2 linked regions of the Struthio camelus genome follow. Each later gene encodes a partner of the first gene's protein in a complex. Links are inferred from orthologs where the notes say so. Each region holds a gene or a part of one and is shown in the gene's direction. Other genes may lie near its edges.

Evidence for each region.
Region 2: the proteins of CLOCK (region 1) and CIPC are in contact, whole or in part, in a crystal structure (PDB 5VJI), measured with the Mus musculus proteins. The link is inferred for Struthio camelus from reciprocal best matches to the Homo sapiens genes CLOCK and CIPC. Residues at the interface, in NP_001276755.1 of Mus musculus: Gln519, Leu526, Lys527, Leu530, Arg533, Ile537, Asn540, Ile541, Arg543, Gln544, Glu547, Leu548, Ile551, Gln554, Leu555, Val558; in XP_006515773.1 of Mus musculus: Asn401, Thr402, Val405, Leu406, Ser409, Leu411, Ile414, Thr415, Thr418, Leu421, Ile422, Asn425, Thr428, Gln429, Leu432, Leu435, Lys436, Thr439, Gln440, Phe442, Ile443, Thr446.

What each region holds. Positions count from the first base shown.
Region 1 is NC_090945.1:56,501,790-56,509,658, forward strand, and holds the start of CLOCK (circadian locomoter output cycles protein kaput), read left to right. Parts: upstream 1-4,863; 5' UTR 4,864-5,017; intron 5,018-7,869. Other genes in the region: PDCL2 (phosducin-like protein 2), read left to right, coding at 204-367. UniProt on the Homo sapiens protein: Transcriptional activator which forms a core component of the circadian clock.
Region 2 is NC_090946.1:58,937,659-58,944,866, forward strand, and holds the start of CIPC (CLOCK-interacting pacemaker), read left to right. Parts: upstream 1-4,174; 5' UTR 4,175-4,383; exon of another isoform or gene 4,384-4,408; intron 4,409-4,682; exon of another isoform or gene 4,683-4,937; intron 4,938-5,905; exon of another isoform or gene 5,906-5,999; intron 6,000-7,208.

The sequences.
Region 1 (7,869 bases):
AGTGCTGCCAAAGCACAAGTGAGCAATTTTGCTGTCAGATGGTCTGCTATCCCTGTTGTGATTATATCTAGTTCTAATTAACACAGTATGAAAATGTAGTTAGCAACTGTCTAAAATTTTAAAATAATGTGTATTTTATGAATAAATGTATTTTGTAATCGTTTATTGCAATTATCAGCCTAAATTGTCATTTGTTGTTACAGAGCTCGAATGGAAGCTAGCAGAAGTCGGAGCAATAAAATCTGACTTAGAAGAAAACCCCAAAAAGGACATTATAGATATGATGACATTTTCAATGCAAAATATTTCTGCTCACAAAGACACCAATGCAAAAAGCAGTGATGTGATGAAACCAAGCATTACTTAAGCAGAAATTTTTAATGCAGATAATCTGTTTTGACTTCAATTAGTTCAAACTAACATAGCTTCTTACTCCTGAAACAATACAAGTAGTTCTTGTTTCACTTGTAGGTGTTTGGTTTTGACTTTTGGAAGAAAATTAATATAGTAAATGACCCCCAAATTTAGCTTTGGATACACAGAGAGGCTTCTATTGACACTGAGAACCTGGATTCTCGATTTCATAGAAACCCTGCTTAAATAGAATTGGAAAGGGAGGATATTAGCTGGTGGGCTCTAATCCAGGACTTTTCCCCTCCTTTTCTCCAGCATGCATGCAAGTTTGAGTTCTTTAATTCATTCCCTTAGTGAAAAGATTGACTGTAGCGGAACTCTGCTGTTAACTACTTTCTCAGTTCCTCCTACTGAAAAGCTGGCCCGAGGAGAATGCTGTGTATAGTGATATAAAAGCAGGACTTGTCCCTAAATCCATGAACTAATTTTTTTCCAGTTTGACAGTTATGCAGTAATCTTCTCCCATGTCAAGGATAAACTTCCCACTATTTTCTGATACGAACAGTTGGGTCAATTGTTCTTTCCTAACAAAAATAAGTATCTAGTTAGCAAAATAGATTACAGTACAACTGTGGATAAGCAAGATGAAAGTACGTGAATGAATGAAGAGACCAAGCTCTATATTCAGCATTTTTATTTATTATGAGGAGCAAATCAGATTGTACACTATTAATGTTATTTTTCCAGTGACTCAACAGAAAAAACCCAACTATCTCAATGTGCTAACAAAGATTGAATTATATGCCGTTGACATAGTTTATGGCATCAGGATGCAGAAAAAAAGAGAAACAGATCACTTACTTACTTAATACTTTGCACATATATACCTAAGAGCAAAAAAATTAGCAGTAGCCAAAATTTTTGTCAGCCAGTAAAACGTAGTTAGACTATTAGTAAATATCCACTAAGAGATTTCACTACCAGAAACATTTATTTTACTGATTCAAGGAGGTAACTACTAGATGTATTTCAGTGTTGACAGTGTATCCGCCACTTGGAACTAGAAAGCTAACCTATATAGGAGTTTTAAATGTAACTGGGATTGCTGTGGGTATGTGATGACCATATGCTTTGCAAATTGTTGCAGACAGACTTTGGGGATTAAAGTATAGTTTCACAAGGTGAAGCATTCAGAAGAAATGCTTTTCACAAGGCTATGCTGTAAAACATTTCGGAAGCCACTCCAGCTGGGAAAAAAACACTTTTTTAATTGAGTTGTGTTTTTAAGTTGGATCAGTTTCCTGATCACATTCACTGTGGTCACAGAAGTATGCTGTTCCAATTACTTAGGCAGCATATGCTCCACTGTGGCAATAATGAAGTTCGCATGGTCATCAAAGATTTTAGATAATGGTTCCTGCGTCCCTTCAGTTTAGCATTAGCGTTGTCTCCTACAAAAGGGAGCTTACTCAGCAGCTCACTTCTACCTCCCTCCTACTGTGGCTGCAGTGAGTTACATGAGCACACGTGCTAGCGTTTTCACATTGGATGGGACAGGAATGCGTGGTTAGATGTGACAGGAAAGGCCAAACCTTCCCTCTGGTAGCCCTTATAAAAAAGGCCAGTGAGGAACAAAAAGGAACTTTCTGAGTGGATGATTGTTTTACAGGAATTAAGTATATTACGTGCAAGATGTTGATGATATCTTTGTAGGGAACGTGGCTGTGGTTAGGAAAGCACACTGGCAATTTCAGCATTTTTCGCCAAATCTAGTCCCACTGTTCAGTGATTCACAAAAGCTGCTCATAATTTGGCAATGTCTGAAAAGTAGGTTGGCGCTCATGAAACCTTTGTGGGTGAAAGAAAACTTATCATTATACACTAGAGCAAACTCACATTGACAAAAGAAGTTGGAAAAATAGTATTTCCAGGTCGAAAATATTTTGGCAAAACCACAACTCCATTTCTGAGCTTTCTGTACTGATCCTGGAGAAGCCCTTTGAATACTTTCAAAAAAAAAAAAAACCCACACAAACAAACAAACAAACGCCCCACCCCACACCATTATTTTGGTTAGACCATAGCCTTGGCAGAAAATGCAAACGTGTGATCTATGCAGCTATGCTGCCTGTGTTTTGATCATGTCAGACCCTCTGATTTAAGATGTGAGAGCTTCGAAGAGTAATTTGTTACTGCAAAATTCCTACTGGTAGGCAGTGTTCTGTACATGCAGGGTGTGAAGAGATACACTGGAGTATCTCTACTTTGTCTTCCTAAAAAATCACTACTGGTTACTGAAGATCTTGTTGCAATATATGTTATGTAACATAACATTTACATACCATAAATAGTTTGATGCTACTTTTAGTCTCCTGCTTTCTTGACCATGTTCTAGTTTTGGTAATTATGCATTTTTGCTGAAATTGTTCATGCAGTTTCTCCTGTATTTTCCATTCCTGCTGCGTACTATTATCTTTTTCTGCACTTCATCATAGGAGTGTTATCCTTCACATAAGTAATGAAATGCTTGATTTTGTTTATGTCACGTTTTCCTGCATTGAAAGCCAGAAAGAGAATATTATGAATCAGTAAAAAAGAAAAATCAAGTGTTTTCACTAATCCTTTAAAAAATTCTTCCAGTGGAAAAACTGAGGTCCTGCTTAGCTCTTTGGCAGCGTTACTACTTAAGAGGTTCCTCCTCTCCCCTCCCCCCCCCCACTACCTTTGCCAATGTCATATGGTCACATGGTGAATCAGACAGGGAAAGTGGTCTACCTGAAAAATAATCCAGAAAGGTAAATCCATGAGATTTTTGCAGCCAGATCAAGTTCCTTACTTCATTCCAGCACAAACACTTTCTTTGGAGGGGCACAGGGGAAGAAGGCTCATTAAATTTCTGCATACACATCTGTAATTACATTTTTAGATACATTACTGTTTAGGAAACCAACTGAAAAATAAACATCCTTGTAACTGAAGAAAACTAGAAATATTTGGATGCTGTTACTACTGAGTAATGTTTTGTTTTACAGAAAATGGTTCCTTGCTATGTTCTGCTGCATGTAGAACAGGTTTATGCTAGCAGAATCGCTGCACATTGAAACATCTTCCAGTCCTGCAATAGGCAGTATGGCTGGGATCAGTTATACATAAAGACTGTGCAGTATCTGCTAGTCATCTGGCTGATTAACTCTGATAAGTGATACTGCTTGTGAAAAAACAACCCAGTACAACTTAGTCTGCAAAGCATAGGCACATCTTACAGTTCTTATAAGCTTTCAAAATACCTACATGCAGACACACAAAGCAATGGTAAGTTTTATTGTCGGAGCCAGTCCTGCAAAATGATATTAGTGGTATCCTCCTGTGCTGAAATAATACATTTTCAGAACCGAGCTACCCTTCATCCTAGTGTACAGTCTGACCAACAAAAATGCTTCAACCGCATACAGGACACTTCAGGTCACTGAGTTCACAATTATGCTTTTACACTGCAGAACACACAAGTCTGTAAGAACTGGCAAAAGAGGAGCAATATATAAATTGTTGCTTTTCAGTCAGAAAGTGGGAAACTCACTCGCTTGGAGTCTTCCACCAGTTTGGTGGTCCAGGCAGCTGTCAGACCGGAGCAGCAAATACTTCTACTTGAAAAGGTTATATATTTCCACTTTTGAGGCTTACGTGATTTTAATAGGTGTTAGGTAAACTGAGATTTTTTAAAAACTCGGCTAGGGTCATTTCTACTTTTTATCGTTAAGTAGGACTACTTTATAAAACTGGGGTTGGAAGTACCGCAGGCCTGCACACAGACTTGCTCCACAGGCGCAGCCAGGCCTGTGAGCCGCACCAGTCTCACCACACCGACGTGACGCACCGCACCAGGACGGACGGCAGCCTGCACGCCGGCAGGGGCCGGCGGCGGCCCTGCTGCCCCTCCCCACCTGCACCCCGCGCTGCGTCACACCTTCAAGCAACGGCCCGGAACAGCAGCTACTCCTAAGTTTATCGTTTCAGTCACAAAACCGCTGCAAGCGGCGGAAACCCTTTCAGGGGCTTCGCTCCGCGCCTGCTTACGAGCGAGCCCCGGAGCGCGGGACTACGCGGGCACCCCACCCTCCTCGGCGGCCGGTAACCGCGAGCCGGGGGGACCCGGCCCCGCCGGGCCGGGCTCCCGACCGCCGCCATTTCCTGCCTGCGCGCGGGTTGCCCGCGCCCCGGCGGGGTGAGGCGAGGTGAGGCTCGCCGAGGTCAGGGAAGCGCGGCGGCCTACCGCGCTTGCGCGCCGGCTCCCTCGGGGCCCCGGCGGGCGGGTGCGCGCGCACGCGTAGAAGAGCCGGCGGCGGGCGGGAATCACCTCCGCTGCCGCCGCCGCGCGTAGGCGCAGCGCTGCGCATGCGCAGGAGCGGCCGCCCCGACCGAGGGGGCCGGGGTGCTGCGGCTTGCAGTGCGCCTCGGCGCACGCGCGGTGGCGCGAGGCGCCGCGGCTGCTGCCGGTGGGCTCGGCGGCGCAGGCGCGGTGGCGAGGGACTCCCGGGCCCGGCTGCTGGTGCTGCCGCTGGAGGAGGCTCTGTGCTGGCGGCGGGCTCGGGGCTGCGCGCAGGAAGCGGCTTCGCGGCAGAGGTCGGGCCGAGCGGGCGGGCGGGCAGCGGCTGAGCGGGGCCGGGTAAGGAGAGCGCAGCGCAGCGCGGCGGGCGGGCGGGCGGCGGCGCCGCCGCCACCACGGGGCCCGGCTCTGGCTTCGGTTCCCCTCGCGGGAGGGGGGGGACGCCGTGAAGGGGAGCCATTAAAGTTTGACAGCGCCGGCGGGTCCCCCCGCCGCCAGGGCAGCGGCGGCGGGCGGCCGGGGCAGCGGCCGCCCTTGGGCAGGGCGCAGGCGGGCGGCGGGCGGGGGCCGGGTCCGGGGGCGCTCGCGGGGCACCCGCTAGGCCCGGTGACCCACTTTGCTCCTGTCACAACTCCCGGGCACGTTTGGAGCCCTGCCCGCCTGGCCCGGCGCCCGCCCGGGCCGCTCCTGCCCCCGCCTGCCGGGCTGCGCGTACGCAGGGCGGGCGCGGGACTGCCCGGCATGCCGCTCCGCGCCGCTCCAGCTCTTCCGCGGCGGCTCGCAGCGCCCTGAGCCGGCGGAGGCGGCCCGGCCGCCGGCGTGGGGCGGGCCCCGGGCGCGGCGGCCCGCGGAGGCGGCGGAGCCCCGCGGCGGCAGGTGGCGGGGGGCGCCGGCGGCACCGGCCGGCGCTGCGGGGAGAAGCGTTGTCGCTCCTTCCTGCCCTTCGCGGGCCGCGCTGCGCTCCTCCTAAACGGGAGGGGTTTGGAGAAGCGGTCGCTGGTGCTGTTCTGACTTAAGGTGCGCGCTGCGAAGCTGTGGGTGTGCGAAGCGGGGCCAGCCGGGCACGGCAGCTCTGTGCTGCTTCTCTCTCGTTTGTGCTTCTCTCAAGCCGGGCTTGTTTGTTACTCGGTTTCGTTTTCACATTCTTAGCACTTCTGGTTTGGGATATAAGTTCTTTCCAACCCCCCCCCCCCCCCCCCCACCGTGTGGAGGAGTGTTTTTTAAACTAATGAAACATTCGTTCTGAGGTTTTTGTAACGGCTTTTTCATGTTAATGTTAAAAGCTGACCTCTTACGAGGCACACGTGCAGTCAGACGTAGTTCTAGCTGCGATATGAAGTGGCATGTAGAGACAGAGAGGTTGATCGTGGGTCCTGATCCTCTAAACCCTGAAAGTAAATTGTTTAGGGCATAGTTAGACAAGCAGTGCTTTTGGTGGCAGTGTTGACCAACAGGCCCGTCTGTTCCTTGCGCCGTGTTTTCACACTCTGTGCTGCCCCCCTCAGCTCTACCAATACAACTGTGGGTGGAACTGTGCCCTTCACTCGGTTGGGGAAATGATCCAGGTTAAAATTAACTACTATATTCCCCCTTTTTTTTTTTTTTTTGATGTGGTTATATTTAGCCTACGTCATTTCTCTGTGTGGCAGGTGTGCCAGAAAGCAAGAGAATTGTTTAGGTAGATATTTTAGTGAAAGAAATGCTGGCGAAATACACCTCGACTCCAGTAGTCCTGGCAAAGTTTTGAGTAGTTTGTGTTGTATTCAGGTTGACTTCTTTGAAGAATAAAAATGGCTTTTGTTTCTGATTATCTGTGGGATTTGGGCTTGTTATTTAAAACTAGACAGTATTTGATTGTTGTAATAGAGGGTTTCTACTTGACAGAGTAAGTGATTTTGCAAAATTGAATTTAAATAAATTGCCATTTTTTATGTGCATCTGTTCAAGAAACTTTGCCATAAGATTACAGACATGTTAAGGAATTTCTTCCAGATATATCAAGTATTAAATCTTGGGGTTAGAGTGCTGTGGTTTGTTTTTTTGCATGCTAGTGTTTTTAAGGTATGAGAACTTCATTGATAAGGTGAGGGTTACTTCCTCTTCAGAAATAGTTCAGAGAGGAAAAAAGTAACTCCCAAACTGATTTTTAATAATTTAAAATATCATTCAGCAGCATCATATTTTTATTTCTGCTGCTTCGTATTCTTACGTAGAGAAGTCTATCTGCTTTCCTTATGTCTTTTTATTTTACATATATTTGTTAATGTTTTCTTTCTTAATGCTCTAAGAACCATATAAACTCCCTCTTGTGGCTAATTTTACACTTTCTATACTTAATTGAAAAAGTATCTGAGTTGCAGTTACTTCAAATTTTATTTGCAGGGTTGGTTAATTATCTTGGTAATGTAGAGTTTCACGGAAGTCATGAATCTTCATAGATGAATTGATCTTGCTGAGGAAATAGTTGCTTTTCAGAGCTTTGAGATTTTGCTTTTTTTTGACCCTATTCAAAAGTTGGACAAAAGGCTGAAGTTACAAATTAGTGGTAGGGATAACATGTCTTCCTCCCCCCACTGCACCCTAGATATTCTTTATATGAAATGTCTATATGAACTTCCAGAATTGTTTCTTTTTCTCACTAAATATGAAAGACATGAATTCAAGATAGTTCTGATTCAAAAATGCAGGTTTTTTCATCCTTTGAAAACTGCTGCTTGTGAGCTGTGCTCCCTTTAAGGAAGGGATGTGCAATCTGCTGTCTGTCTATTCTGAAGCTGTGAAGCTTAACTTTGTAGGCTGGAGAATATGGATAGTACTCCTCTTAGAATAGAAAATTAGTGTCATAATACAGTGCGTGATAAAAAGCTAATACATGATATTGACAGGATGAAGTAAAATTATAGCAAAGGTGTGTCGTCTTTCTTATCACATGGTAATGAATTAGTTTTTCTTGAGTAAAAGACTTTGGTGGACATTTGAAAAGGTTTGGAGTAGAGAAAAGTACATGTTAGCATTTCAGCCTTTTTAGTAATAGAAATAGTTTAGTGATAGTTTCCATATGAACACTAAAATTCAGATGGATGGGTAGCAAAGATGGTGTTTGTAGTTGCTGCTATCCTTACCTTCTATTTACTTATTTTGCAAAGTATTTTTTAACCTGCATATGTTAATTGAGCTGGTTCACCCTGTTG
Region 2 (7,208 bases), on another chromosome or scaffold:
TCAAAATAATATTCTCAGATGTAGTTTTCTGTTCTCAACAATTAGAAAATTACAGATTTGAGATTGCCAGTGCAGCCTTAATTCTGTTACCTCACACATTTATGTCATGAACCTATCTTTACTTACCTACTGACATCTTGTTTCTTTCCACCAAACAATGTGTCATGCAATAGACTATGTAAATGTTATTGGTAATAAATCAAAACTGTGTACAGAATTAGGCTGTTGCTTGTAGTACCCTTACCCTGTATTTGTTGCCCTCGCTATATAAATAATGTTGTTTTAAAGTAATATTTGGGACTATTGATTGCCATTTTAAATAAATTAGATAAAGCCATTTAATCCTGAAAAAATGTCCATAGACAGTCCTTGATTGGACCAAGTTTGACCTTCCCTATAATATTTTAATACAAAGAGACACACGACACCTAGTGGCTATGCAAGATAACAATACAGGAATGCATAGAGCCATATATAATTTAAGGATACAGATCACCACTCTCAGGTTCACAAAATTAAGATGCAATCGCAAAACTGAAGACAAGTTACAGTCCATACTGAAGAGTCAGTTAAGATGGCCTTAACAGACTCCACATCTGCGACACAGACAACCCCTATCACCAATATTTAAAATACAAACCCAGATAATTTTTGGTCTATGGGAAAATATAGCATCTACCCTACTCTGGGGCGAACAATAGCTCTTTTATTACAACAGTATAAATTCTGTAGATTTGCCCATTAGAAAACAACAGTATCATGAGGCAATCTCCCTCACTGCATAGCACTAAGTAAAACCATACTTCTGCACCTCATAGTTTTCCACTTATCAGAGGCTATATTGGAGATACAGATAGATAAGGGGAGGACTGTGCATGAGAAGTGAGGGCGTGTGAAAGGCCATGCAGCCCTCCAAAATACTCTGGACTACTGAAATAGTCTGTTGCTGCACAGATTAAAAGCAGTTTCTGGGGCTGCTCTTTTCCATAGTTTCCCCAAAACCTCAGTTGGCTCTACAGTCTAGGAGTTGCAAAGGTGGTATTGCAGCCACCTTTGTTCTCCTTCAACATAATACAGTACAGAAAAGAGTAAAGAGCATTAGAGATACTGGCTTCTTGTTTTATTCTCCAGATGCCATCTCTGTTAATCATTCTTTGTGGTTAAATGACCTTTATTCTGCACTCCCTAAATTTGTAGACATTTATGGTAAAGATACACTTGCAGATAAATGAATCTGAAAGACGTATATTCTGAAAACAAAACATCACTAGATAAAGGTGAAATGCAGAAGAAGAACAAGCCAGTGTTAAAAGATCTTCTCCAGAGAAAAAAATCTTGCTAAACGAACTCTTGCGTGAAACTCTATGACCTGGGATACAGTTCAGGTCAAGCAGATGATCACACAGTATCCCTTTCAGGCTTTGATATTTATAAATAAGATATTAACTATTAACACAACCTATATATGAAATGTCTTTTAAAACAGATTTAGAGGTTTAATGTTGTTTTAATCTACAACCACAAAGCTAACCCAAATATAACAATAAATGTGTTTGAGATTTGGTGCACCTCTGCTGAAATGTGAAGCAAATACTTTATCCACATCTATTCATTCTTTGGTTAAGATCAACAAAAACTCAGAGGCATCATTTGAACAATATTCTTCTATTAATGTATTAAAATTATAGAAATGAATACTAAAAGGATCAAAATATCATAAAAGTTAGATTTTGCTTCAATAAAATAACTGGTATAAAACCATACTTTTGCATGTATGCAGATTAATTTTGTATTTGCAGATTAATTTAATGTAATATAGTACCTACTGAAGTATATTTTGACAGTGATAGCAAAATAAATAGGTCAGGATACAAAGAAAAAAGATTGACAAACACCTAAACTTTCCAGTTCAGCCAATGTATTATGAAATCATGTTCTTATTCTGACCTGGCTACGCTTTACTTCTGTAGTTTGCCAAGTATTTCTTTCTACTGTTGTGTTAGGACAAAAGATTCTTTGTCCCGTAAGAGTTTATGGCATCCATGCATCATCACCTTTATTAATTGTTCAGTAACCACACAAGACCTATTATTTAACAGCCTCAAAAGATAACTACTTGCTTTTGTCCCTCTTAAAGTCATTCTCAGAAAGCTGATTGCTGCATCTTTTCCTGAAAGAAGTGATTCAATACATTTGGTTTTGAATAGAAAATGCTGAAATGCCTAAACTCAGTAAACACACAGCCATACTTCATCTTTTAATTCTTCTCCTTTTGTATGACCAAAATAAATAGGGAAGTGAATGAAAAACTAGTACTCATTTGCCAAAACACTCGCCTTCAGGATAAACAAACAAACCACAGTGCAATATATGAAAAAAGGAAAACATCCTGTTGTCACTGACAGTAATCACAGAAAGCACACGGTAAATGAAACCTTTTATCAATGAAAAGAACACTTGTAAGGAAAGGGGAAAGAGGGAAATGACACTAGTATTATTAAAACACAGAAAACCCACATTTTAGAGCAGGGAAAATTCAGCTGTTGAGGTTCTTAAATTTAAGGTTTAATTTAGCTGAATTCTGAGAGAATTCACATGATAAGGTGCAATTTATTTAAAGCAGAGGTTAACCTAGACTATCCAAGAAAAAGTCTCCAATTATAATATAGTATTTCAGTTTTCCTACCTGTCGTCTCTTGGATGAAGGCCTGGTATCATCCAATCTCAATTCTGCTCTGAATCACCTCAACTGAATGGCAGATTGTCTCTCCTAAATCAGTCTCTGATGAGCTGTTTTCAGTGAACACGCACATGCACTCCATATCCTTAGAAATTTGGTCTCGGTGGAGATCTGTAAGGGTTGTTTCTGGGGATAAGGCAACCAGGACCATGCCTGAGCACATATCATGATGCAACAGCGTTCTTAGCATGCTTTTCCCTCAGAACCCAAACCTCATAAATGGTAAGAGATCCACAGTCTAGTTATCTCACACCTCGAAGCACTGTTTAACTGCAACTCTGAGCCAACTCTAGTATTTAAATACTCAAAAAATTACATTCTAGGAATATGTGTTACTGGCGTTCTCTCACAGCACTTTACATTAGGAGGACTGGAACGCATTCAGTGTTGGGCTTTCAAAATGACAGCATCACTTCTTATAATACCACACATTTTTGTTTGTTTTGCATGTGATAGGTCTGTTCTAGGCTGTGTTGACATTGAAACGTCCTTTTCTTATCCAGTCTGGAATCTATTTGACCATGTTGACCTTTGTTAACAAGCATGTTTCAGGTTCTTTAACAATACCACCATAACAATGAAAACATTTCTTTTCATCCATTTCTGTTCAGAGAACTCACTGTGTGCTTTGCTCAACCCTTCTCAGTCCTGTTTCCTGTAATGAAGTGGCTTTTCACGACCCAAAGCAAAATATTCTGATAGACTTCTGGGTGCTGGTGGTGTTTATGGAGCTCTTAGGACAAGAAGAGGTATTCCTGTTGTATACGCTAATCTGGAAGATCTACTTCCTCCTGCTTACTGGGCCTTGCTTTTCTGCAGTTCATGAAAAGTAAATCCATGCATTTCTTTCACAAGCTCATATTTACCAGCCATGTGGAAGAATAAGGGGATCTTTTACTCTTCATTTGCTTATGATAGCTCCTCCTTTTGCTATTCTTTCTCTCTTTGAGAAAGCAAGCCTAAAGCTTTTGGAGCTCTTTGGTGCTGCCTTCCTCATTTCGCAAGTGGCTGTCAGTCTAACGATTTTTGCTGCCATCTCTCATTCTTGGCATCCGACAGGCTCTAGAGAAACCTAAACCCCTGTGAGGGAGCGGAACTGTATTCTTCTGCGCGATACTTGGAAAGGCCAGCAGCATCCCTGGCCTTCGTCACCCTGCCTCATCCCTTCAGGAGCCCAGGCCAGGCCAGGCCAGGCCAGGCAATAAAAGGTTCTGGCTGCCGTGGCGGAAGGCCAGTGGGAGCTACCCAAGCCGCCCTGCGGGCAGGGTGCTCTTTTCTGCCACGTCCCGGCAGGCAGCTGCGGCGAGAGAGCGCTCCCCGCCGCCCCGCTCCTTCACAGGCCCTACAACGGCCCGCTCCTCCCTCACGCCAGCCGCTCCCTGCGAGGAACCGCCCCGCCCCGCTTGCGCACGCGCCGCCACACCTCCCCCGCCTACCAACGGCCGCGTGGCCGCGCATGCGCACCGCCGTCACGCCGGCTCCGGCGACGAGCGCAGGCAGCTCGCTGTGCGCATGCGCACCAGAGGAGCCTGGTCGGGCAGCCTTCCTCTTCCGGGATGGTGAGGAGGGAGGGTTGTAGCCATGGTGACGACCGCGCGCATGCGCAGCCTGGCGGCACTGGCGTTGTGGCGGCCAGCACGCAGGTGAGGGGCGGCCCGGCCTGGCCCGGTGAGCGCGGCTGTGGCTGTGCGGGAGCGGCGGGGGTTGGGGGGGCTTGTGGAGACGCCCGGCCTCGCCGTGTGGCGGTGCTGCGGGGCGGCGGCTGCGACCCGACGACGGGGGTCGCTCATCGCGCCGCCCCGGCCGGACGGCTGCGCGGAGCCCGGGGGTCAGCCCTCAGCGAGAGAGCCCGGGCGCGGCCTCGAGGAGGAGGAGGCGGCGGCGGCGGCGGCGGGGGGGGGGGGGGTCGGGCAGCTGCCCCGGGGGCGCGGCGGCCCCGCCGGGGCGCGCAGGCCACAGCACGCCCGCCGCCTCGCCGGGGCGCGGCCCTTACCCGCCTCGGCCCTTACCCGCCTCGGCCCTTACCCGCCTCGGCCCTTACCCGCCTCGGCCCTTACCCGCCTCGGCCCTTACCCGCCTCGGCCCTTACCCGCCTCGGCCCTTACCCGCCTCGGCCCTTACCCGCCTCGTTCGTGTGGTTTGTTCGTATGGGGGAGAAGACGTGCCCGTCCTGCCTAAAGCGCGAGGCTGACGTATGGTGTGTTCTCATTTTACTTATTTCTAGCCCTCGTCCTGTTTCTAGTTCTGCTCTTTAGCTCTAGCTCATCAGCAGCACATACCCCTTTCTTTAAAATTTATTTATTTTGGAGAGGGATAAGTAACTAAGGGAGGGACTTAAGCCTCATCTTCCATTTAAACCTATCTGTACCATGAGTATTCAGTTAAAACTGGTCTCTTAGTGATAAGAGATGGTGAAGCCGAGTTTATATTTGTAATTTTTAATCTAGTTAAAATGCATGCTGCTTTATCAAATAATTCTGTTTATGGTATGTGGAGCAGGATAGCTCCAGACCAGTCCACATGTTGGTCTAATGTAGTTGACTCTGTCTCTGTTAGCATATCAGCAGATGTGATTGAAGATAAAAAGCAAAAATGAGGCAAAACATTGAATAAGTCCTTTTTTGTTGAGCATTATTCTGTCTTGTAGTTTTACAGATGGTTATGCTAGCATCTTAGCACTCTTACCTAAAGTGCAGAGTTCATTACTGGAGGTGTCAAGGCTCAAGAACTTGACCAGAATTCTAGCAATTCTTCTTTTAAGAAGAAACTCACCTTTTGGGGTAGATTGTTCCAGAATGTGTCTGCTGCAATATCATTTGAAGTATCTAGCACTGGATACTACCATTAGTGGACTGCTGGTCTGGATATTATGTGAACTCCTGAGTTCCTGTATTTGTATTTGAATTTATAGTTCTAACATCAACCACATTTTTAAATGATTTTTTTATAAGAAAGTAATTTCTACAAATAGTATTAGACCTAATTTCTGTGGTTCGTCCTGTCATCTATCTGGTAGCCAGAGTCTGAGCTACCTTCTTTAAGAAAAGCAGAAACTTTATTCTGTCTTGTTAGAGTCTACCTACCCTTAGGAAGCAGCTGAAGGTTGTGAAGAGTACATGCTATGGGCAGCCATAAAGTAACTATACATTTTTCTGGTTTTCATAGCTTTTAGTTTCAGCCTTCCAGCGTTCTCATTCTGAAAGGGTATGGGAAGAAGAGGCATTTCTAAGGCCATGTCTCCACTAGGAGTGCTTTGCAGGTATAGTATGTGTTGCACATTTAGCAATAAGGATTTCCCTAGCCCCAGCACGTTCTCTGATCTCCAGATGTACCCTCACTCTTGAGAGTGAAATAAGCTAGCAAAAGCAGAGCTTTGCAGGTTCAGCTGTATTTATGGTATGGGATTTGCGCAGCAGAGCTGACCTGTTTGGGGATGCAATTCCCTACCCAAGATAGCTGAGTTTATAAGACAGGTATGGCCTGAGCAACCTTAATTCTTCAACAAAATGTTGTTTATGAATAGCTTTCAGCTTTCAGTTTGTTTTGCCTTTTTGGATAGAGAAATGGCTCTAATGCATTAATTTTCTCTCTACATTTCATTTTTTAAAATCACTTGAGATGCTTCTGCTTCTGAAAGATCTTCAATTAATTAATTGGCAGTGTTTAAAAAGAAAAACTTAAAATGCACAGCTGTCCCACTTCACTTAAAGGAGGATTGATTTAATTACAGATAACAAGTGTACGCCTGATAACTGCTATTTTATCTTGGTCACCCATGGTCCTGAACTTCAGAGCAATCAAATAGAACTGGGCATTACGTTTTTGACAGTTCAATACAAGAAATCATCTTCCTATTTCCAAACTTTTATGCATACAGTAAGGAATTTTTAGTTGTCTAGTAGAATCCTCAACAGAGTTAGAAGTTATTTGTGCAGAGTGTGCTTTCTGGGTGAATCTACCAGGAATTACTCAGTAATTTTAAGTAGGAAACGATGCTACTTCAGGTAAACTCAGAAAGACTGGCTGACCTGTGCTCTCTACTCTGACTTGTTTAGCCCCTGAAGAAGGAAGCTGAGTAGGTGAATTCTGGCCCTTCTACCACATCCCTTTGATTTATTAGTTTTCACAGGAATAGTAAAAATGGGTTATAGAAGATCTGTACTGTAGTTCTGCTTCAATTGACTTCTTCTTTCCTATGCCGTAGTTTTTCTGCATCTTTGAACTGGCCCTTGCCAGCATCCATGCCGCATTTTATATTCTTTCCCTGTACTTGGTACAGGGGACTGAAAGATTGGATCATAGGAATTTTCTGGACACTTAAAAAATCAGCCTGAGGAGATGGAAAACATCACTGCAGAAAGTTTTATGAAGTAGTGTATCAGTTGATACTAAAGATTGTTACCTATCGTAGCCATTCTGTAATGGATTATTAAACACGCATTGAGAATTTTGCGGGGAATAGACTGTG